Linked DNA regions of Astyanax mexicanus. The protein of the gene in region 1 binds, or shares a complex with, the protein of each later gene. Links are inferred from orthologs where the notes say so. Each region holds a gene or a part of one and is shown on either strand. Other genes may lie near its edges.

The links.
Region 2: prpf38a (region 1) and zmat2 share a complex: the UniProt entries of both Homo sapiens proteins name them as parts of the spliceosome B complex. The link is inferred for Astyanax mexicanus from reciprocal best matches to the Homo sapiens genes PRPF38A and ZMAT2.

What each region holds. Positions count from the first base shown.
Region 1 is NC_064412.1:22,006,152-22,022,495, forward strand, and holds prpf38a (pre-mRNA-splicing factor 38A), read left to right. Parts: upstream 1-5,044; 5' UTR 5,045-5,101; coding exon 5,102-5,231; intron 5,232-6,294; coding exon 6,295-6,454; intron 6,455-6,905; coding exon 6,906-7,027; intron 7,028-7,146; coding exon 7,147-7,232; intron 7,233-7,346; coding exon 7,347-7,457; intron 7,458-7,555; coding exon 7,556-7,662; intron 7,663-7,960; coding exon 7,961-7,987; intron 7,988-8,140; coding exon 8,141-8,244; intron 8,245-8,388; coding exon 8,389-8,437; intron 8,438-8,557; coding exon 8,558-8,603; 3' UTR 8,604-8,880; downstream 8,881-16,344. Other genes in the region: pomgnt1 (protein O-linked-mannose beta-1,2-N-acetylglucosaminyltransferase 1), read left to right, coding at 11,692-11,811, 12,550-12,655, 12,808-12,923, 13,193-13,258, 13,807-13,920, 14,030-14,147, 14,287-14,385, 15,153-15,280 and 3 more. UniProt on the Homo sapiens protein: Involved in pre-mRNA splicing as a component of the spliceosome.
Region 2 is NC_064424.1:10,754,806-10,771,187, reverse strand, and holds zmat2 (zinc finger matrin-type protein 2), read left to right. Parts: upstream 1-9,154; 5' UTR 9,155-9,238; coding exon 9,239-9,256; intron 9,257-9,699; coding exon 9,700-9,790; intron 9,791-11,541; coding exon 11,542-11,665; intron 11,666-12,052; coding exon 12,053-12,126; intron 12,127-12,232; coding exon 12,233-12,378; intron 12,379-12,467; coding exon 12,468-12,611; 3' UTR 12,612-13,200; downstream 13,201-16,382. Other genes in the region: protein FAM53C, read right to left, coding at 1,010-1,016; slbp2 (stem-loop binding protein 2), read right to left, coding at 5,517-5,687, 5,765-5,906, 6,517-6,684, 6,793-6,939, 7,049-7,135, 7,248-7,322, 7,469-7,603, 7,702-7,748. UniProt on the Homo sapiens protein: Involved in pre-mRNA splicing as a component of the spliceosome.

The DNA.
Region 1 (16,344 bases):
ATGAAATATGTGCAAGAATATATTCAAGACCAACTTGACTCATTATTTTGAACGTCAGTTAACATAGCTAACCTAGATATGCCTTTATATTATATGCCTAGATATAACATTATATTATAAATTACGTAAACATATAAAAAACATAGAAAATAAGCTCTGGTAACGTTATGCTCTTTTGTAATAAACCACATAAGTTATTTGGTTTGGACACTTTGAGGGCAACACTATTCCACAGCGTGTAAAGATAGCTGGCTAACTTTAGCTAACTAGCTTAGCATACGTCTGTAGGTGTAGTTGCAGTCAGTATGTAAAGTTACAGCTGAAGACGACCCACTGAACCAATATCACTTACTTTTAGTAGAGCCTCTGCAATATATCAAGCTTCTTTAACCAATCCGACAGTGTGCTGTTATCCTTACTAGATGGGAAAGTGATATAACGTTAAAACTTTAAAACACTGATCCGTGCTCGCTCTGTCTCCCCCAACCCCCTGTTGCCTTCAGACACGACACACAACTTTTCCCGCGAAAGATGAGGACTATTTGCATACCGACATATCATTGGACCAGTGGAATGAATCCACGCCTACTGACCCGATGGCGTAGGCCGTGCGTGTCATAACTACATGCTGACTTGCTGTCCTACTGCCTAAACCTTCTCACTTAAAGCCGTAGAAAGCGGTGAATCTGTAACCGAAACAAAAAAGAAAAATAGCGCTTCCTGCCATACAATATATGATCGTTTATATGTGTTCTCATTAGCTGTTAACCTTAATGCTAAACAAAATAGAAGGCTAAATTACTAAACATCGATTCAGACAAGGATGGGTTCTTTCCTGCCTAACTAGGCAACATGTCATACGTTTCAGATACAACCCAGCGGATATTCTTTTTTTCTGCGGGGTCGACGTGTTTGGTCGTGAGTATCATAAACATCCACCTGTTTTTTTATATTTTAATATGGGTTAGACGAAGGTTTATTTAGTATTTTTGTGTTTATTTAAAGTTTCTACATCTGGAAAAAAGATGTATGAAAATGTATGAGCTCTCTCTCCTTTCAATATTAAATCTTTTTTTAGATGCAGATGATCTAAAATGTCAGTCTGGACATCTCTGATGCACATCAAAACAAAAATCGTGTTTACTTCCGACTGGTTATAGGCAAGAAAAGCAAGGTACCAGCCTGAGAGGGGCATTGTAACAGTAACTAAACTAAACTAAACTAAACTAAACTGAGTCTAGTACATCCTTGCAAATATATGTATCCAAGTGTCCTTTTGGGCATCTCCAAGTGCCATTTTGAGCATCTCCAACTGTCCTTTTGGGCATCTCCAAGTGCCATTTTGAGCATCTCCAACTGTCCTTTTGGGCATCTCCAAGTGTCTTTTTGGGCATCACCAAGTGTCACTTAGGGCATCTCCAAGTGTCCTTTTGAGCATCTCCAAGTGTTCTTTTGGGCATCTCCAAGTGCCATTTTGGGCATCTCCAAGTGTCCTTTTGGGCATCTCCAAGTGTCCTTTTGGGCATCTCCGAGTGTCCCTTTGGGCATCTCCAAGTGTCATTTTGAGCATCTTCAAATGTACCTTTGGGCATCTCCAAGTGCCATCTTGGGCATCTCCAAGTGTCCTTTTGGGCATCTCCAAGTGTCCTTTCGGGCATCTCTGAGTGTCCTCTTGAGCATCTTCAGGTGTCCCTTTGGTCATCTCCAAGTGTCCTTTTTGGTGTCTCCAAGTGCCGTTTTGGGCATCTACAGGTGTCCTTTTTGGCATCTCCAAGTGTCCCCTTGAGCATCTCCAAGTGTCTTTTTGATCATCTCCAAGTGCCATTTTGGGCATCTCCAAGTGTCCTTTTGGGTATCTCCAAGTGTGCCTTTGGGCATCTCCAAGTGTCCTTTTGGGCATCTCCAAGTGTCCTTTTGGGCATCTCCAAGTGTCCTTTCGGGCATCTCTGAGTGTCATTTTGGGCATCTACAGGTGTCATTTTGGGCATCTCCAAGTGTCCCATTGAGCATCTCCAAGTGTCTTTTTGGGCATCTCCAAGTGTCCTTTTGGGCATCTCCAAGTGTCCCTTTGGACATCTCCAAGTGTCCTTTTGGACGTCTCCAAGTGTCATTTTGGGTATCTCCAAATGTCCCTTTGACCATCTCCAAGTGTGCCTTTGAGTATCTCCAAGTGTCCTTTTGGGTATCTCCAAGTACCATTTTGGGAATCTTCAAGTGTCATTTTGGGCATCTTCAAGTGTCATTTTGGCCATCTCCAGGTCTCCCTTTGGGCATCTCCAAGTGTCCTTTTGGGCATCTCCAGGTGTCCCTTTGGGCATCTGCAAGTGTCATTTTTGGCATCTCCAATTATCATTTTGGGCATCTCCAAGTGTCCCTTTGGGCATCTCCAAGTGTCCTTTTGGGTGTCTCCAAGTGTCCTTTTGGGTATCTCCAAGTGCCATTTTGAGCATCTCCAAGTGCCATTTTGAGCATCTCCAAATGTCCCTTTGGGCATCTCCAAGTGTGCCTTTGGGCATCTCCAAGTGTCCTTTCGGGCATCTCTGAGTGTCCTTTTGGGCATCTTCAGGTGTCCCTTTGGTCATCTCCAAGTGTCCTTTTCGGTATCTCCAAGTGTCATTTTGGGCATCTACAGGTGTCCTTTTGGGCATCTCCAAGTGTCCCATTGAGCATCTCCAAGTGTCTTTTTGGGCATCTCCAAGTGTCCCTTTGGGCATCTCCAAGTGTCCCTTTGGACATCTCCAAGTGTCCTTTTGGATGTCTCCAAGTGCCATTTTGGACATCTCCAAGTGCCATTTTGGGCATCTCCAAGTGTCATTTTGGGCATCTCCAAATGTCCCTTTGGCCATCTCCAAGTGTGCCTTTGAGTATCTCCAAGTGTCCTTTTGGGTATCTCCAAGTACCATTTTGGGAATCTTCAAATGTCATTTTGAGCATCTCCAAGTGTCCCTTTGGGCATCTTCAAGTGTCATTTTGGCCATCTCCAGGTCTCCCTTTGGGCATCTCCAAGTGTCCTTTTGGGCATCTCCAGGTGTCCCTTTGGGCATCTGCAAGTGTCATTTTTGGCATCTCCAATTATCATTTTGGGCATCTCCAAGTGTCCCTTTGGGCATCTCCAAGTGTCCTTTTGGGTGTCTCCAAGTGTCCTTTTGGGTATCTCCAAGTGCCATTTTGGGGATCTCCAAGTGTCCCATTGAGCATCTCCAAGTGTCTTTTTGGGCATCTCCAAGTGTTCCTTTGGGCATCTCCAAGTGTCCCTTTGGACATCTCCAAGTGTCCTTTTGGATGTCTCCAAGTGTCATTTTGGGCATCTCCAAATGTCCCTTTGGCCATCTCCAAGTGTGCCTTTGAGTATCTCCAAGTGTCCTTTTGGGTATCTCCAAGTGCCATTTTGGGAATCTCCAGGTGTCCCTTTGGGCATCTTCAAGTGTCCTTTTGGGCAGCTCCAAGTGCCATTTTGGGCTTCTCAAAATGTCCCTTTGGGCATCTCCAAGGGTCCTTTTGGGTATCTTCAAGTGCTCCAAGATCCAAGATCTCCAAGATGATGCAACATTATAGCACAGGAGTTTGGTTGTAGCTACTTTTTTTATCACTTTGTTTACGTGCTTAAATCCCTCGTTTCCAAAACTCTAAAAACAATATATAACTTTTAATACCTGAACCTGAAAGTAGTTATTGCATTATTTCATTTTTATTTTACTATAAATGGACCAATATAAATGTTTTTTTTACAATGAATTTTATTAAAGATTAAGAAGGGAGTTTCTCCCTATGTAAAGTCACTGTTTTGTACGTTTTTTGTTTTGACAGTGATTATGGATAGAAATAATTAACTAAAATAGTTTGTCTATAAATACAATGTAATTTATATAAAACTGATACATCGTAGCATTTAAAAAGCTTATGTAAGACTCTCCACATTAGCAGTTCTGCTTGTTACTGGGGAAGCATGTAGCAACACATTACAACACAAAGAGATGCGCAAAAACATACCAGACACGTAAATGTGCCCGCCGTGCGTAAAAGTGTCCGCCGTGCGTAAAAACGCATCCCGGGCGTAAAAGCGCGCGCCGTGCGTAAACGCGCATTCCGTGCGTAAAAACGCATCGCGTGCGTAAAAACGCATCCCGTGCGTAAAAGTGCGCGCCTATCCCGTGCGTAGAAACGCATCCCGTGCGTAAAAGTACATTTTGTGTATAAAAATTAGCGCTGTGGGCAAACACCCAGGGGAGTGCTCACACTAAAATCCCAACATCTATAAGGAAAACAAACCTGACAACTTCTCAGGTGTCGATTATTAATTTATATATGTATATTATTTATGTTAATCTAATTAATGGATCTGTGCTGTTTAAGGTATTGTAAGAACATTTGAGAATATTTCACTAACACTGCTAAAGAACTCCTGCGCTAGATATTTTTAAAGGGTTTATTTACAAATTCAAAGTTTTTCTAAGACTGACTTGTCCATATGGAATCATATATGGTTATTTTACAGCATCAAACCTATATGTCATAGCATGCTATATATTTCTGCACTTTACAAGGGGACTTTTTCAGATCACATCTGAATTGGGAAATTAACATAACAAATTTCATGAATAAAGCAGACGTGAAATCGACGTATCTGTGACCTAGCAAATTAACATGCCAAATTTCCTGCGTAAAACAGATTATTCAACGACGTATGTGGGGTGCGATCGGTCTCTGGAGCATATCATATTAATAAAACCAATTTATAATCAATTCAAATGAGGTTGATGCATTTAAGATGTTCAGACCTTTACAAAAAGGTCTTAGTATGTATGCTTTCAGGGTAGTTACTGAGGTAGAGGATATATAGTACTTATCATACACAGTTAACAGCAAATATTGAGACCATTTTAGTCATTTGAAACACAATCTGTTAGCGTGTGAAGAGAAAGAAAGAAACTAAAGTAATTCCCTCATTTAACATCCACATTTAGCCGTGGGTTTACTCCACACTCCGTGCTGTAGGTGTCAGTACTCCCCACTATCAGTCCAGCAGCAGGGCGCTTTAGAGGAAGTTCAGTGGGTTGTGTTCCGGCGTGAGCGCGTTTCATTCATCAGTTCTCTGGTGGAAATGGCGAACAGAACAGTGAAAGATGCGAACAGTATACACGGAACTAACCCCCAGTACCTGGTGGAGAAAATTATCCGCACTCGAATCTACGAGTCCAAATACTGGAAGGAAGAGTGTTTCGGTCTCACAGGTGAGGAGAAAACAGCGTTAGTTAGCCGGTCTGGTGTTGTGCTAGTTAGCTGTGTAGCCAGCTAGGTTAGCTTAGCTTCCTAAGCTGTGTTTAGGGTTATCTACCTGCAGCTCGCTACTGTATTAATTATCTGTTCTCTTGGGTAGATTTGGCAGTGAACCTTAATTAACTAACGTTAAACCCTGGACATCTTTCTTTTGTATTCATAAATGCGCGCACTAACGCAAGAAAGCTGACATGCTAATAACATATAGCTAGCGTTAGCCATGTTAGCTAAATTAGCTCTATGTATCTCACTAGTACTTTGAGCTATTTTGCTAATTAGGTTTACTAGGTTAGCATTTTAAGTAACTTAAAGCATTAGTTAGATACATAGGGAGCTAGTTTAGTTAACGCTAGCAATCCAGCTCTGAAAAAAACAAGAGACCGCTTAAAAACGACGAGTTTCTTTAATTTTACCAAACTGAAAACCTCTGAAATATAATCAAGAGAAAGATGGATGATCACAAGCCATCAAACCAAGCTGAACTGCTTAAAGTTTTGCACCAGGAGGCTTAAAGTTATCCAAAAGCAGTGTGTACGACTGGTGGAGGAGAACATGCGAAGATTCTTGAAGATGTTTGAAAGCTCTGCATCTTTTTATTTCAGCCATTTCTCATTTTCTGCAAATAAATGCTCTAAATGACAATATTTTTATTTGAAATTTGGGAGATGGTGTCTATAGCTTATAAAATAAAAAACAATGTTCATTTTACTCAAACATATACCTATACATAGCTAAATCAGAGAAACTGATTCAGAAACTGAAGTGGTCTCTTAATTCTTTTCAGAGCTGTAAATGATAAGCCAGTATGTTGCTAGCTAGCTAACCTGCATAATGTAATTTTTAATGGATATTAGACATGCTACATATCTGTTCTATTTTGGATGTAGGTATTGTTAAATTGTTGACGTTTAGAGCATCAGTAGTTTATTATTTTATGTATATTGAGCTTTGAATTTGTTCTGACTCTGGACTCTAATCTTTTTGTTCCTCATGGTCACTGAATATATCAACTTTAAGCTGAGCTTGTTGTGGACAAAGCAATGGAACTGAAGTTTGTCGGAGGAGTGTATGGCGGAAACATCAAACCCACACCTTTCTTATGTCTGACGCTGAAGATGCTCCAGATTCAGCCTGAGAAGGACATCATTGTAGAATTCATCAAGAACGAAGATTTTAAGTATGCATATCTCACCTATATTTATATTTTATCTATCACTGACCTGTCTCCTGAGTTTTTTCCTTATGTGTTAGGTTGTTCCTAGTATTATTTGAGCTTCCTGGTTTTTGCACATAAAGAATATCTTTACAATTTCTTTATTGGAAACTGTAATGACTTCACAAGCGGTCCTACCAGACTTTTTATGTTTTAAAACTAATTTCAGCATTTGGTTGGCTGAGTGGGGTGTGTTACATTTAGGTAAAAATGAATAGAAGAAAATAAAACAGACACATGTGATTAAATTAATGCCCATCATGCACAAATGCATTTGGTTTAAGCAGAATGTTTATTGTTTAAACTATTGGGTTTTGTGTCTATTAGGAAATAAATACAGCTACTATCATTAGAAAACAGAATATCATAGTCTATGCATGCAAGTGCTGAATGTAATTTTTAATGTTTTGTTCAGATATGTCCGCTTGCTTGGAGCAACGTATATGCGCCTGACTGGCACCTCAGTGGACTGTTATAAGTATTTGGAACCGTTGTACAATGACTACAGAAAAATCAAAACACAGAACCGAAATGGAGGTAAGCAGCACATTGAAACTAATACCGCATTGGTTCATAAATGAGAGTAACTATATATAGTAATTCCTTGTAAACCAAGAAAACCTTCTAACGTACTTTATCTTACTCTGTCTTCCCAGAGTTTGAGATAATGCATGTGGACGAGTTTATAGACGAGCTGCTTCATGCCGAGCGAGTGTGTGATGTCATCCTCCCTAGGCTCCAGGTTTGTTTTCTTTTTGTATATAATTTAGAATATTGTTATATGTGAGCAATTATGCAAATTTGGGTTTAAATCTGTTACCCTTTGTTGTACTGAAATTGAGTTCATCTTTTATAGAAGAGGCAAGTCCTGGAGGAAGCTGAGCTTTTAGATCCGCGTATCAGTGCCCTTGAAGAAGACCTGGATGAGGTGGAGTCCAGTGAAGAAGAAGACGAAGAAGAGGAGAAGGTATTACTCTAACAATACTTATCACAATAATATTATTAACAGAGGGGCAAAAAAAAGTTTGGTAATTTTTTTGACTTCAATTTTTTTTTAATTTATAGCCGGAAAGAGTACAGACACCAGAGCCACACAGACGGAGTTACAGAGATATGGATAGACCTCGCAGATCTCCCTCTCCTCGCTACAGACGAAGCCGATCGCCCAGAAGGTTGGTGTTAAGTGAAGATTAAGAAAGTGCCAGCAAACTAGCTAAATAAGCATCCCTAAAAGAGTAACCCCCCCTGAAATGATCAACATGCTGTGTTATGTTAATGGATATAAAGGAATACATGGTTATACTGGAATTATTTCAATCTGATGGTGTATTTATTGAATGCTTTTGAAAGGTGTGTGTGTGTGTTGAGTGGCTGCCACTAGTCTATATGAAAATTGAAGTGCTACCATACAATTTATTATTGTTCTTTTCTTTTTCTTTTTTTTTTCCCTTTTTTTAAACCCTGAAACAGACGAAGCAGATCCCCCAAGAGACGAAGGTACACATACAGTGCAAATCTGTCTTTCTCATTCTTACTTCTGCATGCATGTTAATCATCTGAACTAAACTATAGCAAACCACAGAACATTATACATCATTCATTCTTTTAATACTGAGATTTAAGTGATTGTTATTCTGTTCGTGTTTGCAGCCCATCACCCAGACGTGAGCGAGAACGGGATCGCCACCGCAGCAAGAGTCCCCGCAGACACCGCAGTCGGTCCAGAGACAGGAGGCACCGCTCCAAATCTCCAGGTACAACACATCAGCTCATATTTATGCTCTTATTAGCTGCTTGTAAGTTTTCAGTTGTGAACCTGATTCAGGTTATTTTAAAGTAAGGAAATAATATTAATCTTTTTATTATTTAATAAATTATGTCTGCTTGGTTTAATTTAGGTCATCACAGAAGCCACAGACATCGCAGTCATTCAAAGTCTCCAGAAAGGTAATTGAATTCTATTAGAAATAATTCTGTAAATGTATTCCTGATCAATATAGATATGAAAATAGATTGTATTTGTTTATTCGTCAAGTCCTTATGTTTGAATGTTTGTCTCTTTAACAGCCGCTCAAAGAAGAGTCACAAGAGGAGTCGAAGAGGAAACGAGTGATTTTTCTACATTTTTTTGTAGATTTTTTTTTATGTAATGCTTGTATGGTAATGTGTATATAAAAAAAAATATGATGTGAATCTTTTTCTCAACTGATTGGAGTCACACAAGTTTTTTGATGCTGTTTATTCTTTTAAGTCATTTTGAGTGGAAATATTTTTCATCCCATCAATTGTAGTTCATTATTAAAGTGTTTCAGCAGCCCTCTTGTAATAAACAGTTTATCTACGTGTAAATTATGAAAAGATTTTACTCAAATAAACTGTTGTTACAGTGACGGTACATGTCCATTTTTTTGTAAATAAAATCAAGTGCTAAATACTGTGCAAATAAGGCTCAAATGGGTCAGTCTGTGAGGTATTAGCCTGACCACGTGACTGGGGTCTCCTTTTTTGCATCATGATAAATACATTTTAACAACACATTTACCATGAAGTAATTTGACTAAAAATTGCAGCCCAAGTTATTTTGATAACATCTGTTTTATTGTGAAATGCATCACTTTTGAGGAATGTTTTCTTAATGATCGTGATTGGAACATAATCCCTTACTTCATTTGTAAAATGTGATGAGTTTTGGAATTTGTACCTTGTAGATCAGAGTTTTACAAACTTGAGAAAGGTAAAATTTGGAAAGTTTTAAAAAGTGGGTCACTAAAGATCATTAGCATGATTTGTCAGAAGTGGCTAACACAATACAATCATTTTATGATTTGAAGGCAACTACTTGGCTAATGTAAAGCTTTAAACCATATACTGCCTTTGTCAGAGCAATACTTTAATGGTAATAAATGTATTCATGAATATTGTCCGTGTTAAGGGGTTGTATTTTATGTTCACACAGGATGTTAAACATGCTTGCTAACATCTCTAAAGAGCACCAGAGAAGAAGGGTTGAGCTTTTTTGCTAAGTGGCAAATCTTAAAATATCAGCCACACAATTTGTCACATGCTAACGAGACAGCACAAGTGTTGCTGTTTGTTGTGCCATCTATTTTAATATGGTCCAACAGACATTATAAGATGTGCAATCTGCTTTAATATGTACAGGTTTGAGTGCTGGGTGAAATGTTATTTGGTATGTTGGCTGTTTTAAGTGCAGACACTCGGCACAAAGGGATCCAACTCATTCTATAAATGCACCTGGAAGACTTCTAGGAAAATAAAGTTTGACCAAGTATATAAATAAAACATTTAAAACTATAAATCTCGATGGTTTCCATATTTAGTTAAATCTATGGCCTCCTCCGTGAAATAGAGGTTCTGATTGGTTCTGCCAGCAAATAACTGAGCAATGTAATCTTCTGGTGTTGGTCCACTGTGTTATATCAAGTCTGAAGTCAGTGCAGTGTTTTTCTGGTAAATCTTACAGAACTTTATTCTTCCAACCTTTCTGAAGATGCAGATTTCATTTTCCAGCAGGATTTGGCCCACTACCCACACTGCCAAAAGTACCAATTAGTCTTATATAATACTCTAATTTTCTGCAGCAATGATCTTGACTGTAAGAAACGCTTAGAATAGATCGCTCTGTGTGTAATACATATGAGTTTCACATTTTTAAGGGAATTACTGAAATAAAGTAACTTTTCAAAGATATTTCTTTTTTTTCAGATGCACTAGTATAGACAAAATACGCATAATCTTTATTTTATAGATTTTGGGGGGTCGATTTTGTTTGCCATATACATGAATTTTACGAGGTATTGTTGTGTTACTTACTTTCTTTTTTTCTTTATTTATTAATTGATTGGGTTTAGATATTTTGCAAAACTGCTGCTAAGAATAAGATAAAGGTCTCATGCCTAAACAATGTTTTTAATATTTTATCTACCAGTTGATCAATGACTCATGTCTGTCAAAGTACTTTATATACAGCTCTCGAAAAAATTAAGACACCACTTCAGTTTCTATGTCAGCTTCTCTGATGTTGCTATTTATAGGTATATATTTGAGTAAAATGAACATTGTTATTTTATTTCATAAACTACAGACAGAATTGTCCACAAATTCCAAATAAAATATTGTCATTCAGAGCATTTATTTGCGGAAAATGAGAAATGGCTGAAATAACTAAAAGATTCAGAGCTTTTAGATGTCAAATAATGCAAGGAAAACAAGTTCATATTTTAACGTTTTAAGAGTTAAGAAATAAACATTTGGCGAAATAACCCTGTTTTTTATTCACAGTTTGTATGCATCTTGGCATGTGCTCCTCCACCAGTCTTACACACTGCTTTTGAATAACTTTGCCACTCTTGGTGCAAAAAATTCAAGCAGTTCTGCTTGGTTTTTATGGATGTGATCATGCAACTTCATCTTGATTATATTGCAGAGGTTTTCAATTTGGTAAAATCAAAGAAACTCATCATTTTTAAGTGGCCTCTTTATTTTTTCAGAGCTGTATTATCTTTTTGTGGTAAGACTTTTATTTTGAAAAATAGCTCATGCGGCAGCCATTAGTAATGGCACAGTTGGTGCCTTCACTCTGATGGACAGAGTCTTCACATGCAGAGAACCGGCTAAACACTGCTAACCTTTAGCGGAACAATGTAAAATAACTCTGTAAATATGGGGGGCATCGACACATAAACACCAGTAACGGTAAGTTGGTTTATTCTGCCGTGAATATCGCGTTTTTACACCTTAAACACAGCCATAAATAAGAGCATGCTGAGTTACTGGAGGGAGGGAGGCTGTTTGGCTGGGTTAGCTGAGAGCTGAGTGAACAGTAAACAGTGTCCTATAGCTCAGCAGGTAATATAACATGTGCTGCAGGTGAGCGTGTTTAACTTTACCTGTGTGTGTGTGTGTGTGTGTTATCTACGTTTGCAATTTTATTTAAATTGACAAGTATTGTCTGGGGTGTGGACAGGAAAATGTAAATGACTGGTGTAAAGTAAAGTTACATGAAAAAGCTGTACACTGTAATAAGACACCTTCTTTCCATTACTAATAAACCCTGCCTCTAAATTATCTCCAGTCCTTTAGTTCACATGTACTGCACAGTCTCTGGTCTCCACATCTAAATGACTTCAGTGCTTTATGTCTTTTTGATTGTGTGTACAGGCAGGCAGCAGTTGTAAGGGATGGACACCTGGACGCCCAACCCACGGGCCAAGCCCTTCATCCCTAGACAGCAGCGTAGTTTCTACCTAACATGGAAATACAAACTTTCCAACAAAAGAGCCATCCGAAGACTCTGCCAGGCGAGTATACACATTTTAGACAGACTCTAAAAAAATCATAGATAGGACAGTTGACCATTCATGGGATTACTGAAGAAACACACAACATTGGGACAGCTTTTGAGCTTAAGATCGTTTATTTTAAATTAATTGCAGGGGTGTTCCTCAGTTGAAAGGGGTCAAAATATTCTGTTATGCATGTCCTAAAATAGTGAAATATGATATAATTCTACATGATAATTAATGTTAAAAGATCAGTATTTATTGTAATACGAAAAAGGTATTTGACTAATGGCAGCAAACTTCACTGGATTGTGTTGTTTGAGGTAGTGAAATAAAGTTGTCATGTGACTTCTTTAATTCCATTTTTTGGCATATTTTGCACAAGACTGTACTCTTTAAAGTATCATCCTTCCAAAGGCCAAAATCTTTCCACACAAACTACCCATGCACATTATTTTTTGGCATTGCACATACAGATATTAACTTGCACAGTGGCTGAGATAGTACATTATAGTAATTTTTACAATATACAGTATGTTGCCTAGCACTGCTATGTAATAAGTGAAACATAAATGGCTTGTTGTCTGAATGTACAGTGTGAACACATTTTTAACTGCTAATGTTACCTTCTGGGTTTTTGTCTTATTTGAGCTCTGTAAGGTAACATAAAGCCATTGATTATGCTTAGCCTTATTGAGTCCAGGGCAGCAGAATATATTATGATGTATGATTTTTTTTGTTTGTTTGTTTTCACAGGCTGGTGCAGTGTTGTTCTTGTTGGTTACAGTACTTGTGAACATAAAACTTATACTTGACACAAGGAGAGCTGCTAGTGAGGACGAAGATGCTGCACGAGACTATGGTAAGATACTAGTGACCAGTAGTGGCAGGTTCTACTGGTCTTTTAGGGTCAGTTAGAGCTTGTTTTCCCCTAACATGCGTTTCATGTGCAAAACAAATAAAATTCAAATCACCAAGAAGACTTATAATATGTTCTGTTTCTCTGTGTCTAAGATGATAACTTGGCCAACATGGAGACCCCACGAAGACCAGCCAGTGGGCGCAAGGTGTTAGACATTGAAGTCTACTCCAGTCGCTCCAAGGTGTATGTGGCAGTTGATGGTACCACAGTGAGTGATACACAGTATTTGAATCCCCTCTGCAGTCATTTTATACCCCCTCCTCTAAACAAGTCTCATGTTGTTTTAATGTGTGTCAATTTGTTCAAGTTACAACTGAAATGTCAAATTTTGCATCATTAGTCAACAGATTGATTGTCGTAAATCACTTTGGTAGTCTTTTAAGGGTCACATCTAGTGATTTAATGTCTCTATGTTTTTGTATTGAACTGGTGTACTGTGTAAAAGTAATTCATTTATGTTTTATTTGTTTTCTGTAGGTATTGGAGGATGAGATGCGGGAGCAGGGAAGAGGCATACATGTCATAGTGCTAAATCAGGCCACTGTAAGTAGAGCTGTGAAGTCTAGAGATTTATATGGCAAATAAATGTCAAACATCTGTGTGCAAAATTATTGTTTTTATACAAGTGCTCTGCACATGTCTGATACAAATGAAAACATATGTTAAAAAATAAAAGGAGCAGCAAGTGATATGTGGAAAAAATACAGCTTACACTATAACCAAAACAAATTAGTCAAATGAGTATTCCATGTACCTATTTGTGTTCCAAACTACACACTCTTTATTGTTTATAATATAATAGAAATGCATGTAAAGTATTCATGTGTTCAGTTTAGTTGTGTTTTCTTAAAAAAAAAAAAAAATGATCCTTTTTTGCAGAAAAAAAATCTTTACATATTTCTGCATCACCACTGGTATTGAGACATATTGACACAGTTTATCCTCTAGACTTCAGTTAAATGACTTTAGTAAATTACAATTTCCTTTGCATCATCAAATTGTTAGAACGTTTGTCAGTGGAGTTTTAGCTAGTGTTCTAAAAATCTGTTTAAAGAGATTTTATGCTATGACATTCTGTCTTGTTTAAACAGGGTCACGTAATGGCGAAGAGAGTATTTGACACCTACTCTCCGCATGAGGATGAAGCCATGATCCTCTTCCTCAACATGGTCACTCGTGGTAGAGTCCTCATTTTCACCATCAAGGTTAAATCACAATCTCTTACTTCAGCACTTTTTAATGTAACGTACACAAATGTAACAATGTCTATTTTACTGACGTTTTGTTGCTGTGTTTATATGTTGTGCTGCTCAGGATGAGGGAACCTTTCATCTGAAGGATGCTGCCAAGAATCTGTTAAAGGGGCTGGGCAGCCAGGTGGCAGCAACTCTCAGTTGGAGGGACATGTGGGCACTGGTTGTGAAGAAAGGAGGTCAGAGTCTTGAATTACTTGATTCTGTTTGTAAGGAGTTAGAATGCCAGATAACATGTACAAATATTTTTTATATTTTTATTTAACAAATAAATGTTAAATGTGTATTTTTTTTTTTTATTGATGTGCGTGTGTCTAGGCCAGGTATATGGGGAGAAGCACTCAAAGTCACCTGCACTCTCTACATGGGGAGATCCTGTACTGCTGAAAACTGAGGTTCAGCTCACTGCTGCTGAAGGTAGAGAATTTCCTGAAGAAACTAATGGTTTTATTTATTGTCTGGTGCTGCTTATTGTGCCTGTAATTTTTGTCACTGTCATGCCAAAACATTGAATCTGACATTTTATAACTTTTCAACATATGCTGACATGCCAAATGTCACAGGACAAGAATAGTATCATGTGCCACGACTTTTGCCATGTCCAATTAAAGCCAAAGTCTCCCTTGTCAGTTTACATAAACAATTCTAGCCAGATGCCACCAATCATGATCATTACCACGCACTGTACTGTCCACTACGGATGGTAATGCCTTTCATTAAGTGTTCTTGGTACACATGTAACACTGGATCAACTTATAAAATGTAAATTAAAAAAAAAATCTAAAACAAATCTTATCTCCCACTAAGCTATCCTTTCTCTGAGGTAACATCCATGACTTTTGACATATCACTTAAATTCTATAAAGTCTTAAAAAATGCATGATTACAGGACCAATAAAAATCCTCCAAAATAATGTAATATAATAATTTTACATTTGACTGTCATTTAAAGTTAGTAAGGTTTTTTTCTCTCCTATCAAGTTACTGTTTTTGAAATTTCTTTTCATTTGCACGACAGTGAAGATTTTTTAATGAAAAGATAAAAAAAATAAGTTCCTGGTTAGTTCACGATGTGATAATTAGAACATTGGCGCTACAACAGCTGGTTAAACATAACTAATAAGACAATGCTCAGCTCTCTAGAGTTTTATTCAAGCAGAACATTTCTGTTGGTCGTTGTGCAGAAGCAGAGTGCCACTGGGCTGAGACGGAGTTGAACCGTAGGAGGAAGCTGTTTTGCAGTAAAGTGGAAGGCTACGGTAGCATCTGCAGCTGCAAGGATCCAGCACCCATAGAGTTCAACCCAGAACCAGTAAGTTTAAATACAAGTACCGGAACTTTCACAATATATAATATGAGTAATGTGTTTATTAATTTTAAATATGTGAAAAGCAACTATTCTGTTTGCTTCTGTCATTTAAAAATATTCAGATGTTAAAATAGAGCATGGGATAAAGTCAACACCTAATTAGCAATCAAGTTTTGATCTGTATTATAATTACCTTTTGTATATTGTCTTTTGTCTAGCTTCCCAACAATAATGTCTACAATGTTCCAGTTGCTGTCATTGCTGGAAACAGACCCAACTATCTCTACAGGTGAGAAAATGTTTGTCTCATTCCCCCGTTGTTGGTGTAAAAAGGCTGATCAAGAAGTAGCACTCTCTGTATGTGTGTCTGCAGAATGCTGCGCTCACTCCTGTCCTCTCATGGTGTGAACCCACAGATGATCACTGTTTTCATTGATGGATATTATGAGGTACCCACTTTCACATTTTTCTTGCAGTCCAGCCACAGCACTATTTCTATTTATATTTAGGTATATAGTAGACACGCTTATCTACAATGACTTACAAAGATGCTCAGTTGATTACTTATCCATATCCATAGCTAGTATGTAGAAACTACGGTCAAGAGATACATCAAGCTTACATAATGTTTAGACGCCTAGTCTAGGAACTCTTTGAAAAGATGAGTCTTTAGTGAATCAGACAGGGTTTTTGTTTTTGAAACACCTCAGTCACGGATGGAATGATAATAGACTACCAACTTAATGTACATCGTCCCATGGGTTGTCCTCTGACCACACATTAAGGCCTAGAGGGTGATCAACACAAACTGTGATTCAACAGACGAGCTTCTATTTCTTGTCTTTATGATTCTTCTTTTTACATTTTACACAGGAACCTATGGATGTGGTGGAGCTCTTTGGCCTTAAAGGCGTTCAACACACACCAATCAGCATTAAGAATGCACGTGTATCACAGGTGATTCATGTGTCTCCTTTAAAGTTTATTTTTTTGTGATAAATGAGGCTGTGTTTCATAATGAACACAACATTATAATGAATGAACTCACAATGAATACAAAATAATAC
Region 2 (16,382 bases), on another chromosome or scaffold:
GAGACATTGTGTAGAAGCTGTGCGGGCATTTAAAATTCCTCAATCCACAGTGTTACATGTGTACCAGAAACATTTCACAGAAGGCATTACCATCCACAGTGGACAGAACAATAAGTGGTAATGATTGTGACCACTGGTGTTTGGCTAAAATTGTCTGTGTAAACAGGCAAGCGACTCCACAGGCAGAAGCAGAAGACCCCATATGCACATCCCAGAAGTCAGAGCAGAATTCTTTAGATTTAAATCACAGGCACCCTCCTTGTTCAAAGTTTTACAAATTGTAGACTCAAGAACACAGACGTTGGCCTGTACTAACAATGCCTTTAAAAACTGTCTTTCAGTGTTGTTTCTTTACCTCATTGATAAGTATTTTGTGCTCTTGGGGTGATTTTAACTGGGCACTTACGTCTTGGCAAAGTACCCACGGTCCCAAATTGTCTCTATTCGTAGATTATTTGCCTCATTGTAGACTGGTGAATTTCTAAAGATCTTTGAAATCATCTTGTAGCTGTTTTAGATCCTCCAAAGGTCTTTTGGCATATCATGGATTTAAACAGTCAAATAAGCTTAAGTCCACATCCCCAAACTAGCAAGAGTGTATTACTTGATTCTAATTAGCTTTTTTTAGGTAATTAATACAAGAACTTCCATACTTTTCCAACTAGCACTATAAAGTTTTTTTATGGTTATTATTGTATCTTTTTAAGCACATAATATTTGTTAATACTCTTGACTTGGAGGAGGATCTGAAATTCCAAAGGGTTAAAATACATTTTTCCCCTTATATTATACATACATTATACATTATATTTTTTTCTGTCTCTCACAGTTGAAGTGTTCCTATGATAAGAATGACTACTCCATTCTTTGTAGGTTTGGATTTTCCTAAACTGTATGTATGTATAATATGACATTGATTTTACTGGACTACTGAAAGTTTTTTATTAATATTTTGCTACAGTCTTCAAATCTTGCTTCTAGACACATAATTGGATACCTGAATACTTACCAGGCATCAATCCATCTGAACTGTGGGCCAGCAGTTTTCAGAGAGGCTGTGAGGATCATGCAGTGGCTGAAAGAGAGACATTGCAGAGACATGAGTGAACAGGATTGGTTTGAATGAATTCTGTGTACTTTTGGATTAAAGAAATCAAAAAACAGTAAATACTAAACCAAGCTTTACCAGAGCGATGTCCAGTGGCTGAGGTTAACGTCAAGACTAGGGATCGGCTCAACATCTAGCATAACCATGGCTTGGCAGGCGGGAAGGTCTAAAGTGAAGCAGTCAACCAGCCGAGGGAATTACAGGTAGCACAGGCTCCCCAGGCAGAGCAGCTCTGGCCAACATGATGACTTCATTACCTGAGGAGGACACAATAGAAAGAAACGTCTTGGTTAGCGTTTTAAAGGCATTTGGCTTATGCACAATTCTTATCCTTAGGCTTATTTATATCATTAATTTACATAGAACATGAGCAAACCATCAGCCTGCATATCTAGATACAGGACTCCTGCTGCTTATAAGGGACAGTTATAAAACAGTAGTGAAGATAAGTGTATATAAAAAAAAATACAATAATAATATTAAAAATAAATAAATAAAAAGTGACATCAAAAGTAAAATAGCATCCTGCATGACATTTATCTTGTATGGCATGAACACCAGGCTCTCTACAGACATTTAGTTTAAAAAAATCTGGCTTTAAAACATTATTTACTACCCCAGGCTTTAGTAGCTAGCCAGCTACATCTGTTAGCCAGGTTATGTGTTTTTTTTTTTTTTAAGAGTATGGGGCAAACCTGTGTTCTGGTTTTAGTTAGCTAAATGGCAAAAGAGCAGCAGCCAAATTCTTATATATTATATATGCAAATGACTAGACATAGCTAAAAAGCTAAGAATTCCTACTGGAAAATAACATTATGCGTTAGTTAAGCTGCTAAATAGTAGCAGACCACAAATCCAACCAAGTCCCTCTGGCCGTCCAGTGTTTTGTCGATTTGTGCTACCTCGTTAAATATATAAATATAGAAAAAGCTACCTAAATAAAACAGCAGGCAGGATATCTGACTGGCCTACAGCAGTAAAGATAAGGAAAGATAAATATAAACCAAGTGAGGTATTTTGTATTTTTATTTATTTATTTTTACTTGAAATGCCATTTACACTTTCGTAACATTAAAGCAAATAATAACCGTACAACAATAAACTCAGATTATATAATGCGCCCGCGGAAAACACAATCAGTATATATAAAAAAAAACGTTAACATTTAAGTGCCGTTGTTCAGCGCATGCGCAGAGACGCTGCGTAGCACAAATTGACGGGTAACACAAATCGACAGAACACCGGCCGGTGTTCTGTCGATTTGTGCCCCCCCCCCCTCCTTCATATTTTTAATGTTTTCACGTGTTTTTCATGTGAATTCCTTTTTTTCTCGTCGGCATTTAACAATTGCAGCTTACTAATATTATTGGCTCAAGTGTTACAAACGTAGAAATGACGATTAAAAAATACAAAAACACAATTTAACTATCATATCAATTAGCGTAAGCTCCCCTGATATAGCGTTAGGTTAGGTTGGCTAGTGAATTGGGCCACCCAAAAATCCTAATGATAAGATAACGTTATCTAGGAGCATTTTTGATATTCTGATACGATGCTTTCGCCATATAAGCCAGATAATACAAATAACTAACCAGGTTAGCGTTTTTTAGAACTTAAGCTTTAAAATAGCTAGCTAGTTAGATAAAAAATATATAACAACAGTAATTAATTAACTAGCACGTTTTAACGGGATGGCACAAAACGACGGAACACCAAGCTAGTCGCTCGGTCCGTCACAGAGCACACAACTGAAGCTAGCTAAATAGCTAACGCTAGCTACCGTAGATTCTTAATGAGTGTCTGCGTATGAGGATAAATATAGCTAGCGTTAGCTAACGTTAACGATACATAGCTAGCTAGCTTATCAAAATAGACAACACTAATTATCAAGCTAGTTAGGTTAGCTATACTGTGTCTATTTAGTTAGCTAGCTAGCTAGCTACCCTAGGTTTACTGACGATGGATGAACTGGTGTTCCTCAAAATAGCATCATATCAATGGAAGGCTATCCAGCTAGCCGAGAAAGACATCCTAGCCATAACCTAGCCCGTGATGAGCATTATTAGCTAACGTTATGTTGGCTGGGTGCTTGGCTACCTAGAAAGCAGCACAGGCCCACTAACGCCTGCAACCCTAGCTAAATCAGGACATACAGCGACGGCTTGGATAGACTAGCGTAGCTTAGCTTAACCAGTTGAGGCCAATAATGCAAAGCAATACATTTTACAATGCAAAAACACCGTGCACGATAAATAAATATCTAACTTATCTACCACACGATCGATTATCTTAATAGGGCTGATTGAACAGCCTGGCGTGTGTAATTCTGATAATAATTGATTGATATTTTAGCCACACAATAACACACATACATATACATATACAGCTGAAGACATGGAGGACATTTAACGATTCTGACTTACCTCGCCGCCGACGGAGACCAGCACAGCCGTCTCACACACAGGGCCCGTGGAGCCTAGCTGTTAGCTAACTAGCTAACCTAGCAAGTTGCTAGCCAGCTAACGTTGGTCTACCATTGCCTAGCTGCACAAGATCAAACAATTCAGACCAACAACTAGCTACGCTAGCCAGCTAGCTAGCGAACTAGCGGGCTACCCGTCCAGGGTACCCATGGCGTAACGTTAGCTATTGTCAATCCCCGTTCTCTACACCTAACACCAGCATACCGTTAAATCAACGTTGAAGACCCGCCGCACGCCGACGCGAACCACCCCCGCGAGCGGAGTGTGAGGAGCGATCTAACACAACACGAATATCTGCTATAAATTCGACATTTCACCGCCTTCCCATCGTCTCCCACTAGGAAAATAAGAACGCCCGTAGAAATCCAGTGGCTTCCATCTGCAGAGCCTCCAGCCCCCCCGCCCCCGCCGAAACACACCATGCAGACCCCCGTCCACGCCCTCTAGTGTTCCTCTATCAGGTAGCAGCAGCAGCACCACCACCACAGACAGTACACTGATAACAAGCAAGAGAGAGAACATTGATTTAACGTTAAAATATATTTTTTTTCGTTGCATTACATTAGCTTTTTGATGGGAAAAGACAACCTTTAAACAATCTTTTATTTAACACAGCCTAATTTTCATTGGTTAGTGTTTAACCCCTTAACATGCCTACAGGCTTCATTTATAAGTGTAATAAATAAATCTTATTATCTGCAGATTTAAAAATAGATGTACAAACTAGACAACCATAATGAAACTAAAGGTTTGAAGGACAAACTGTTCGATTTGCATTTTTAGTAAAATATTGAATTTAAAATAAAGTTCAGGAAAGAGACAACTTTATGATTTTATTTATTATATTTTGACATTAGCAGATTTACTTAAATATTTTCAATTACAATTATGTTTTTCAATAATGTTCCTTATCAAACATAAACGTTTTTCATGTGACGCTTGAATAGAAATCCTCAATATTTAGTGTTGTAATGTCAGGCAGACAATTGGCAAAAATCCTGGCCTGTGAAGGGGTTAAACTGTAACATTGATGACATTTTTATTGATTTATATTTAAATGTTTGACAGTGGTTGGGGCTTTGAATCTACACTGCAAAAACACAGTCCAGTGGGAAATAAATGCCATTAAGGACAAAAGCTTAGGCCGTGCCACAGGGTCCTATATTAACACACTTTTCTAAAAAAAATAATGGCTATATATGTTATGTTAAAATGTTAATTTTGATACATTTAGGATGCACCAGGGTCCCTGTTTCAGCCGTATATATGCCCATTGAAAATTAATTTTAGTACAATGTAAATAGATTAAAAGGGAAAAAAAGGGCTTGTAGAAAGTGCTAAATAAAGTTAATTTGACTATCGTCTGTCAAACTGAAAACACTGAAGGACACTACTGCTAGTTTTTCACCTTTTAAACTTTTGTGTACCAATGGTTGCTCCCCCACCCCTTGGCCCTCTTGACTTTATGAATTACCAAGGCAAACATTTAACATATCTTTATTGGTTTTGCTTTCCACTACTTTTAAAGTCATACAAAAATACTCAAATTTCAAAACAAGGCTAACAATCTTCCCCCAAACAACCTGACTACAGTGAAACAGGGAGACGAGGAAAACTCACAAAATCAAAACAGCAAAAAAAGTGCCTTTAGGAAAAGAAGTGTCTATACTAGTGAGGGAATATCCAGTGAAGGAACAAAACACGAGCAAGTAGTGAAAAAAAGAAAAGTGCAAATTTTAGTGGTTTCAACAGTTAAGTGATCTGAATTACAGGGGTTTTGATGCAAAACTACCATCAGCGTGCTCAGTGTTCAACATTAAGATCCAAGTACATGTTTGATCATATCTTAGACGCCATTCCTGGGTCATTATTTATTCCTGGAAAACAAGCTTTACACATGGTCTACACAAGACATCATGGTACAATCAGTAAAATCGCCAAAGTGGCTGTTCACTCTCCGGGGCAACTTCGCTGCGTGCATGGTCAGTCTCCAAGAGAAATCGCAGCCATCCAAGGACATTCTCCTCAGCAGTTAGATGACTATTAAAGGAATAGCCCAGTCCAGAAGTCTGGCTTTGCTGGCCTGTTAAATCAGCCTGTAGGTAAATAAGAACATGCATCAGGACACCCTATTCATACAAACACAATAAATCAACTTTTCTGTTCTACTTACTTGAGGAGCAAGAGGCTTCCAGAAGCCATTGCCTAAGCCTTCAGTAGGTTGAGAAAGTACAGAAGCACTTGAGTCAGATACATCCAACGTCCTTTCCTTTTCTTCTCCCAGCTCAGTATTCATTTTCTCAAGCAGGTCCTGCCTAAGAGAATTAGCATGCAACAGGTTAACCTTAAAACTCCTTAAAAAGGTCTTATGCTGTATTCCATTTGAACCAAAGAAGAATTAGCTAGATCCAATTAGGAAATGTTCACAGATCAGATTTATTTATTAGAAGTGTTCAGAGAACCCCACTAACCAAGAATTCATAATCCAAGATGGCTGCAATGCAAGTCAAGAGTAATAAAAGCGTCGTATTAAATAGTTTATCACCAAGTCTATACATTAGCGTCTCATAAAATCAGTTGCTGTACTGTCCGTATTCCATCTATCTACAGACATGATTTCATGGTACTCAAATTAAATACTGCACAATGCCAACCTGGGACAATGTTAATGATAAATCAAACCAGTTGCAGTAAACTCCAAAGGCTATAGCTGACTTTTTTTTTTTTTTTTTTTTAAATAGTGAAACATTATCTAAAATATTTTATGGCATACTGGAATGCTCCAATCTGGTGTCAAGTAATTCTCAATTCAAACAGCTGAGGTAAATGGAACACAGCACAAGTCTTCAAACATAAGACTACATCTGCAGAATGTTTATGATCTAAATTTAACATCACACAATACAATACCAGTCCTACACATACAGTTGATCAACTGGGTCTTGTCCTTCATTGTTCCCTTGGGAAGTCAAAGGTGGGTCCCAAGCATGTAGCGCTCTCCGCCAAAGCCTGACTTGCATGTCCCAAGACCGTCGGCTGTACTTGCGGTATTTGTTTGGAGTGGAAGGGTGAAACCCAGGGATGCGAAGGCGCCTAAAAGTTATAGCACAGAGAAAAAAAAAGCTAGTAATAAGTAAAAAAACAAGCCTAATTATCTTAAGGCTAGTAAAAAGGTATGTAGGTCTGTAGGTCTGTTCTTACTTTGGAACGTGCTTCAGATAGTTCTGGTAGCCACAGGTGTTCTTTCCATACTGAATTTGCTTCTGTCTGCGCTTCAAAACCGACTCGTTGGTCTCAAAATGAGATGGGTCCATATTTTGAGTACACCATCGGAGTCTTGACGGTGACCTAAGAAGGTTTGTTAGCTTTGATAACCACAGAGAAATCCACATCCTAGAACAGGCTTCACAATATTAGTCACCCTAACAAATTGCACATTTCAAAGTCTGCACCTGACCTCTTGATATCATCTAGATCCTCTGTCCCAACAGCCACATTAGCTGTAGATATCTTGAGAATGCACCTCTCAAGAATAGAGGATCTACTTAGAGTTGTAAAGAGGGAAAAAAAAAATAAAAATTAGCACTGAGGCCATGCATAATCAAGACATAATTCACAATATTCTTAATTATAGAGCTGATAAATAAAGTCAAGACCTGCGAGGCTTGGACATGATGGAGGAGGTGGTATTCCTTTCTTCACTTACAGAGGACGGCCTTGGGGTTCTAGAGCTATTCAAATGCACAGCAATACAGAAAAACAAACAGATTTTATAATTAACCACAAAATACAAAGCATTACAATGTCCGTTCAAAACAAAAGTGCTTGGTGCTCATTTGTTCTTTAAAACAAACGGCTTAAATCTTTACCTTCTTACCTGACCAGGCTGTCATACACCGAGCTGCAACCTGGGAGAAGCCATGGCTCTGGACTGCCTGGCTCAAGAGGTGGTCTGACCCTCAAATCATGAGGTAACTCTGGAATGTTTGGCCACAAGGGAAGAGACAGGCCCCTAAAATTAAATTAAACAAAAGGAAACCAGATTAAGATTAAATCCCAAAGTGTTCTACACTCAGCAACAACACACAGAAGTAAGTAAGTCTACTGGACCTTGACTCCAAAGGGCTATGAAGTGCAGTTTCAATCCGTGCTGTCATGCTGACTCTGCCACCTAGTATGCCGCATAGTTTGAAAGACCTTTAAATCAGCATCAGGTGGATAAGGGGCGGGGCTACACAATTAACCCACGTGTTACGTAGCCGGTCAAATTGACCCCTTTTAAAGTAAAGTTAAAAAAAAAAAAAAATACAGGCACAAGCACGGTGTTTGGATCATATACAATATTGACTAGAGCCCACAAAAGGAAAAATAAATTAAAGTAAACACTTTTTTTTTTCATCAAAATAGAGGCACAATATAGTTGTACTAAAAAAGTTAATTATAATAAATTAACCATATTTTACTTGAAAACCAAAATTCCAAATTTGATTACACTAAATATTGTTCACATTAAATAGGTAATATGTTAAAAGCCAATGTTTCTTGGAAAAACGCACTGGCTCAATCTGGGTTAATATTACTAACATAACAGTATTAAAGACAGCATAGCCAGCAGAAGCTCTGAAAATTAATATCTGTTAATGTTTAACTTAATATACACATGAAGGATTATACATATTATACATATCATCAAGTAGTCGTCTGTACTAATTGTAATAATTGATCACAAACAAATGTTGTTGTATTCACGTTTTGTTTTTCTAAACAATATTTTATCCAATTATGTATTCCACTTACATTGTTTTATCATGCTATTGTGAAGTCAAAAGAAACTGCTCCTTTAAGTAGCAGTGTTTAGTAGTATCTTGTATTCCCATTATAATAACCTGAACTGAATTTGTATTGGTGCATTTTTTTGTAAGGATGTTGTTTATTTTAAATAGATAAACGGTGCACAAAATAGTAACACATATCCATAACTTAAATGGAAATCGTATTTGATAATTACTGACATATTTAAAGAATATAATTTTTTGAAATGACAATATTGAAAATAGGCATGTTTATTTGTATGTTTGTTCACATATATAGCATTGAACTGTATTTAAGGCTCCATACACACAGTGTGGACTGCAGTAGGTGAAGAAAAAAATAATTTATTTCCCAAACTATTATTAATTGCAATCATAGTCTTACAAGGCTATAAAAGTGTTGCTTTTATCCTTTATCACAATCATTTCTTGGATGGTATATTGTCCACAAAAAATGTCAATGCCTATGAAAAAAACTAACATTTTTTTTACATTTTATTTTATGTTGTATATATTGTGTTCTTTTTGCATACTAATTGGAAACATGCAGCCACGTTTTTCATTCTCCTGTACATCTGTACTTATTTGATTTGTATGTTCTTTCTGAATGGGTGGGTGTTTGCCTGTTACTTGTTTATAGTATTCTTATTTATTTTATTGTATTTATTTATTTTACCTTTTTCAGCAAACCGTGTGTGAGAAGTTGTGTAGATTGAAATAAATGAGACAAATTAACACAGAACTCACCTTCACTTTAATCACACAGTTCCCACAGAGCTTTTATTTTGCCTTGTTGTTTTTCTCCAGACAGGAAGAAGATCTCGTTGGTCAGCAACATGGCGTCAGGCAGTGGGGTGAGTTATATTGTTTTTTTTTTTTTATTAGTTATATTAATGTCTGCAAGGTTATATCTGTTTTAATGTATTCAGTAAATGCTGTAATTGATAGACTGTAACATAGCCGGCTGAATAAACTATAAACTACAACGTTACCGTGCTAAAACACGCTCCTGTGGCCATTAGCTTAGGTAGCTAGCTAGCTAAGCTAACTAAACATTTGTCAGTGTTCAGTGAAAATTTAATGATTTATCCAACAACAGTTATAGATCTGTAATGCTGTTAAAGGAGCTGCTGACAATAACTGAATATCTAAACCATATATGTTGTAGGCGTTATATAGCTGGCATGTTAGACAACAGGTTATTGTCACGGTGTTTTATTGTTTATGGATACCCAGCTAGCCGTGGCTACCCTAACTAATTAGCGAATAATCTCCAAATCTCTTTTTTTTTTTGTAGTCTAAGAACGATTTTAGGCGCAAGTGGGACAAAGATGAGTATGAACAGCTGGCACAGAAGCGTCTCACGGAGGAAAGAGAGAAAAAAGATGGTGAGTACATTCATATAGTTTATATAGTGCACTACTGTACTGTACTATATTCACACTTTCACTGCCTATTGTTTGGAAATCCTGATATGACATGGTATATATATATATATATATATATATATATATATATATATATATATATATATATATATATATATACCATATTTTCTTTACATAAAAAATGGTGAGCACTAGGAAGTATGTTCACTGGTCTGTGCATGGCTTCACAGACTGCTACATTGCGCTGTGCTGTGTTACTTGGTGTGTGGTGAGCACTAGATACTAAGTGGTAAGCACCAGATAGTATGTTCACTGGTCTGTACAGGTCTGCACATTGCGCTTTGCTGTTCCACTTAGCCACTTTACCAAAAGTGGGGACGATAAAAAAGTGTCTACCTTCTATCGTCTCTATCGTTTCTACAGTAATTTCATCAATTATTCATGCAAATATATAAAGTAGGCTACGATGAAATGTATTAGCGTGGTCACTTTGCATAAACTCTGTTTATATAAGTGATAAAGTAATCTTCACAAAAAAGCTTCATAATGTGGTTTTGTGACACAACGCTGCTTTACGTTATTTGACGGAAATGCACAGACACCGGTTTGCGACATGCTTTACGTTTTTAAACTCATGAGAGCTGAACAATGGAGACGCATTGTTCTTTTTAAAGAATTAGCTACTGCATCTACCTCATCTGTTTTCATTCGATACATATATATTGCTGCAATAAAAGGTAGGAATTCTCGTTTGTGAAAGTTTGTTTTAATGTCACTTTGAAATAAAGTTTTTTCGAAGAATAACTGAAAACATACTTAAATGTAGTATATCATAATATATATCGTTATTGTGATATAAAAAAATTCATATTGTGATAATGATTTTTCCCATATCGCCCAGCACTACTTGTACAGTTACTTACATTGTTCTCTCACTGGACTTGCTGTTTTTATTCTGGAATGCCAATTACGCATACTTCATATGTGTAGACACTAACCCTACTTGCCACCTTGTTTATCTCATATCTTATAATGTACCTTATAAAACCAAAGAGATGCTGTGTTTTAGCTAGCCCACAGGTTTCTAAATAAAATATTAAAATTAAATTGAAATCCTCTCTGTTTAACCTTAGAACCTGTCTAGTTTACTTTGCAGTAGTGATGGCAAAAGTGGGTCTTTTGGGAGTTTGAATGAAATTAACCGATTGATTCGGGGAAAAAAAGATTCAGCCTTGTGAGTCCTGGGGGATAAATATGCCAGTAGAAGATTCATCACTACTTAAATATGCCTTTCCTAACTGTAAATTTCATTACAGAGAGTGTAAAAAATCCTTTAAATTATGTTATGTGCAGCAACAATTATAATAATTAATGTAGGTCTAAAGTAATTTTCTATGTATTAAGGAGTATTTGAGTAGAATTTTTTAAGAATTTACCACTCCTGGTGCTTTTTACCCATGAGTCAATACATGATGAATACTGTATATCATAGGATTGTCTTTCAATACAGATATAACAATTTGCCATGTCACCCAGGTCTCTCAGTGCATGATTATGTACACCAACGCTGGTGGCTTTTATACTGTTCATATCAATATCGTAATTATATCATACCAAAATTAAGAATTTTGCTCTTGTTTTATTGTATTAAATCTGATGCACAGATTTATAATTATATAAATAATTATTTGCCAGTATTGTTATGATTCTGTTATTGTGCATCACAAAACTCTATGAACGTTTTTTTACAGGCAAACCTATGCCACCAGTCAAGCGGGAGCTCCTCAGGCACAGAGACTACAAGGTTGATCTGGAGTCTAAACTGGGGAAGACAATTGTCATCACTAAAACTACACCTCAGGCTGAGATGGGCGGGTGAGTATCTAATGCAATTCCCGCGATTCCAACTGAATGTGAATAAGACTACTTTTAAAGAATTTGCATTAAACATCCAGAATCAGTCAATTTTTACTAAGAGAGAAAAAATGGAAAGTGCTGGCCTTTATTCCTTAGGAAGAATAAGGTAAATTTGGTAACATTTAACTATATTGCATAAACAGAACTGTCCCAAATCGACAATTTAAACAATAATTCTACATTATATATGACATGGTGAGGGACTGTCAGGAGATGCTGCTGCTGCTGATGTTGCCATTATATCTTTATTTTTTGTTCATTTTGTAGAATTTAGTTTTCTGGAAGCAAATATATTTTAAACAGAAATATTTGGTCTTATTGGTGTTTTCATACTTTTTTATGTAGATACTACTGCAATGTTTGCGATTGTGTTGTGAAAGATTCCATCAACTTTTTGGATCATATCAATGGCAAGAAACGTGAGTTTCTTTTTATTTCTTTGATTTGCTGTTTCAGAAAAATGTAAAAATAAAAATTGTATATATTATATAAAAACATTTTTCTCACTTTGTCTCACTAATATAGACCAGAGAAACCTTGGAATGTCGATGCGAGTGGAACGGTCCTCATTGGATCAGGTTAAAAAACGCTTTGAAGTAAATAAGAAAAAAATGGAGGAAAAACAGAAGGAGTATGATTTTGAGGAAAGATTGAAGGAATTACGAGAAGAGGTACAGAATTTGATTTATAAACATGTTTTGCTTTGCCTACAATAAATGTATTTTGTACATTTGGTTAATATTTTGATTTATTTATTCAGGAGGAAAAAGCAAAGGCATATAAAAAAGAGAAGCTAAAAGAAAAGAAGAGAAAAGCAGAGGAAGACCTGAATTTTGAAGAGGATGATGAAATGGCTGCTGTAATGGGATTCTCAGGGTTTGGGTCCTCCAAGAAGAGCCACTGATTCCCACCTTATACATATCCTTGCTTAAGCCTTTACAGTTCTTACAGAGTGGAGAACTATTCAACTATCAACAGACTGGAAGAACCCTTCCTTGACTGGACTACATTGGGTTTTTTTTATGTCAACTATCACAAATTCCATGAGCAAAGACGAAAACAACAATTAATCAAAATGTTTTCCACCTGTTACTTGTTTTATTACAGATTCATATTTGGAATTAAAATACGGGTGGAGCAGTTTGAGTTGAATGTTGTTAGTTTGATGCTTGTTGTAAATATGATTTTTTTTAAATTCCTCTCACTTGTCCAATTTATTCTGTAGATTTTGAAATATAAGGAAGGGTAAAGGAATGTGGTGTTACAAAAATTAGTGTTTTCATTGACACAAACTTGTCTTTCAGATCTGCAAGAGATGATTGAGGGTGTAGTTGCATCAGAAATACCCAAGCATAGAATAAAGGCAAGTTTTGTGTCAGGGCTGTATTGTGTTTTTTTTTGTTGTTTTTTTTATCCAACTCAAACATGTTCTTGCAAATAAACTGTATTATATTATTTTAAAAGAAATGTGCTTTAATTAAATTTTAAACAGCCTTGTTTCATTTAATTAACATTTCACACAAGCATTTACATTTTCAGGGCCTTTTTATAAATAGTAGTGACTGTCCATCCACGAAAATAGTTTAACTGTTAAAGATCTGCAGTATATTAACGTTATTTTTTTTTTTATGCCAAGAATATACCAATAAGAAAAAAGAAGCTTGTCAGAGCCGAAATGAGCCATCAGTCAGGCCAAGACACATTCTACAACCAAAACACCTCTGAGTACAATCTAAACACCAGTAATAATTGCAGTGCAACAAACAAATGAGCATATTCTGTCATTTGTTTACCAAACTTAAGTGTAATTTGATAAATTCTTATCTGGATTTAATCAAGATACTAAGCACATTAAGAGGTTTCAACAGGTCATACAGTTCAATTGTTTTAGCTATTGCTATTTTTATAGCTATTTTAGCATTGCAGTTTCATTCCAGAACTTAAGATGTCTAAACAAACCTCTCTTAATGATCTTTCTCAGAACTGTTCATTTCATTGTGGCTCTAAAACTATTAAATTTAATTAAATTACATTTACCTAATATAAATTAGCTTTGGCTGAGTGGTTAAGGAGTTATTGTTGATCACTTATTCAGTGACAGGCTGGAATTTTTACCTGCAGTAACAAGCCAACACTGATAAGTAATACACTTTAATAAATGTTTTGACTATTTATCATAGTTATATGACTAATGAAAAATTATATTTTTCCAGCTTAATCACTTTTTATTTTCATTATATAGTTGCATGCATTTTTCCACCCCATCATGACAGGATGGAGAGGTTATGGTTTAATTAAGCTAATAAAAAAATAAAACTCATATTATTAATTGTTGAACGTGCAGCAGGAGTCTTCAGTCCCTTAAAAACGGAAACAGTACAACCGTACTTTCTTAAAGTGGTGTGGTTGTTCCAAGATGACAGGGCATTGTTGAAAATGTTTAAATGCTTGATTTTCTTTTTACAAAAAAAGCTGTTTTCATTATTTAAATGTCTAAATTATTAAAAATCTTAATGAGTTATTCAACTTAATCAGGCAGCACTGTGGACATGGCAAAACCTCACCCCACATTAAATAAATCTGTATAAAATGTTTAAAATTTAACTTTAAAGTAAAAATTAACATTTTAGGGGACTTGTAATGTGTTAATTCAGAGTAAATCAGATGAAAACACTGTAATGCTTTCTTAATGATGATTTTTTTTTTATCATAACACTCTTATCACCATGTGATGGCGCTATTGTTTACCTATATGGTTCTGAAGACAACTGGTAAACCACAGGACTGTGCTTATTTAGATACAATTCATTCAGTGCCCTTAAGTTAAATTCCTGATCTGAACACATGAATCTAAACCCAGCATTTCTTTTGAAACTATAAAAGACACTGTAAGCAACTGTAACTGTAAACAACTGTATGACTCTGACAGTTGACCTTTTCTTTCTGATCTAGTTTAAGTACACCCACCTACAATACCAGTATACATTCAGCATCGACTGGAGTTCACAGGAAGTGGAAATTGTTATAGCGAATGACATAGAAAGTTAAAAGTTTTTGGGACGTGCAAATTTCAGATTGCATTGCTGGGAATAAACATAAATAAAGCCAAATAGTGAGACACTTCAAGTGTCATAAGTTTCCACTAGCAATCGTGGGGCCTGGGGGAAAAAAAAATGAAAGCTCAGACTTTCCAAGTGTGGGTGCTTTTTGGTTTGGCCTACTTTGATTACCACCTGACTTACTTACTTTTTAATGAGCTAATAATAGCTGTGGTTTTGTATAGACACCAACTACCTGCTCAAAAAAAAAACAACACTTGAATGCTCTAATACAGTGTGTCCAAATGTTTGTAGACACCCCTTCTACAGGGTTCGTGCGGGTGCTTGAAATCCTGGAAAATGCTTGGATTTTAACAGTCTGTTTTCCAGGCCTGGAAAGTGTTGAAATTTTAGAGAAAGTGCTTGAAAATGCTTGAAATTCTGACTACATTTACTATACAATAAATAATTATCTGACTAAATAAGTTTGCTTAAAGAAAAAATTGCAGAACGTAAAAGGAAAAAGGCTTTAATTTCTTCTCCTTCTGATATTACCAAACAATTCTGTTTGCATTTACGTAAACATAATACACTGCATCTCTTGCAGTGTGACAAAAAGCAAATCAATAATTTTGAGTATATGTATGTATAAATGGTCTCAACTCATCCCAGAATTTGATATACTACAGTAACTGCTCAATCAAATGAAAAGGGTAACATGCGGTGAAAAACATTGATAGTTACATTGTGTAAAACTGCCATTAATAAATCCATAATTTTTGCTATTTACTTACCTAGAACTATTTTTTTCCTCAGTGGCATAGTGTGGAGAATAGATTTGCTTTTGCAATGTATTGATTATCGCTGAATCACAGTGTTGAGATATCACCGTCATCATTAATTTACCACAGCTGAAAGGTGCAGGAAAAACTTGAAAATGGGCCTTGAAAGTTCTTAAAAAGTGCTTTAATTTTAGCTTGTAAAAGGTGTTTAAACTCTGCTTCTAGTAAAATGAATTCAGCTGCACCCATTGTTGACACTGTGGTGCAAATGCGTGCACACAGCTTGTCCAGTCCCTGTAGCCTATAGACAATACAATAGTACTCTGTGGAGCCGGTACACATTAACCTATTTGTATCATGCCTTATGTCAGAAAGGAGTATAAAAGTCTCACATGCATTGCCCTGTTGAGTGGTGGAATTGTGTTCTCTGTAATAATAATGCTCCATTCATACATTGATTAGTGGAGGAGGTTTTGGTGATCATCCAAGCCTCCTGTCCTCTGTAGTGTTTGTGTTGCTGAATGCTCTAAAATCTAGTAGAAAGCCTTCCCAGTAGAGTAGACAGTTTCTCCAATAAAAGCAGCAAAGGCTTTAAAAGTACTGACATTCATTACTCAAGTAGAAGTATAGATATTGGGGTTTAAAAATACTTCTGTAGAAGCTGAAGTATCAACTTAAGCTTTAAAGTGTAAAAGTATACAAGTTAATGTAAGGGAACAAAATGCTAAAATAAGGGGGGGAAATAAGGATAAAAGCTTAGACCATGCCACAGGATCCTACAGTGCAATAAAATAGGTGTGAAAAAAATACTCTAGTAAAGTATAGATAACCAACATTTCTACTTAAGTAAGCTAA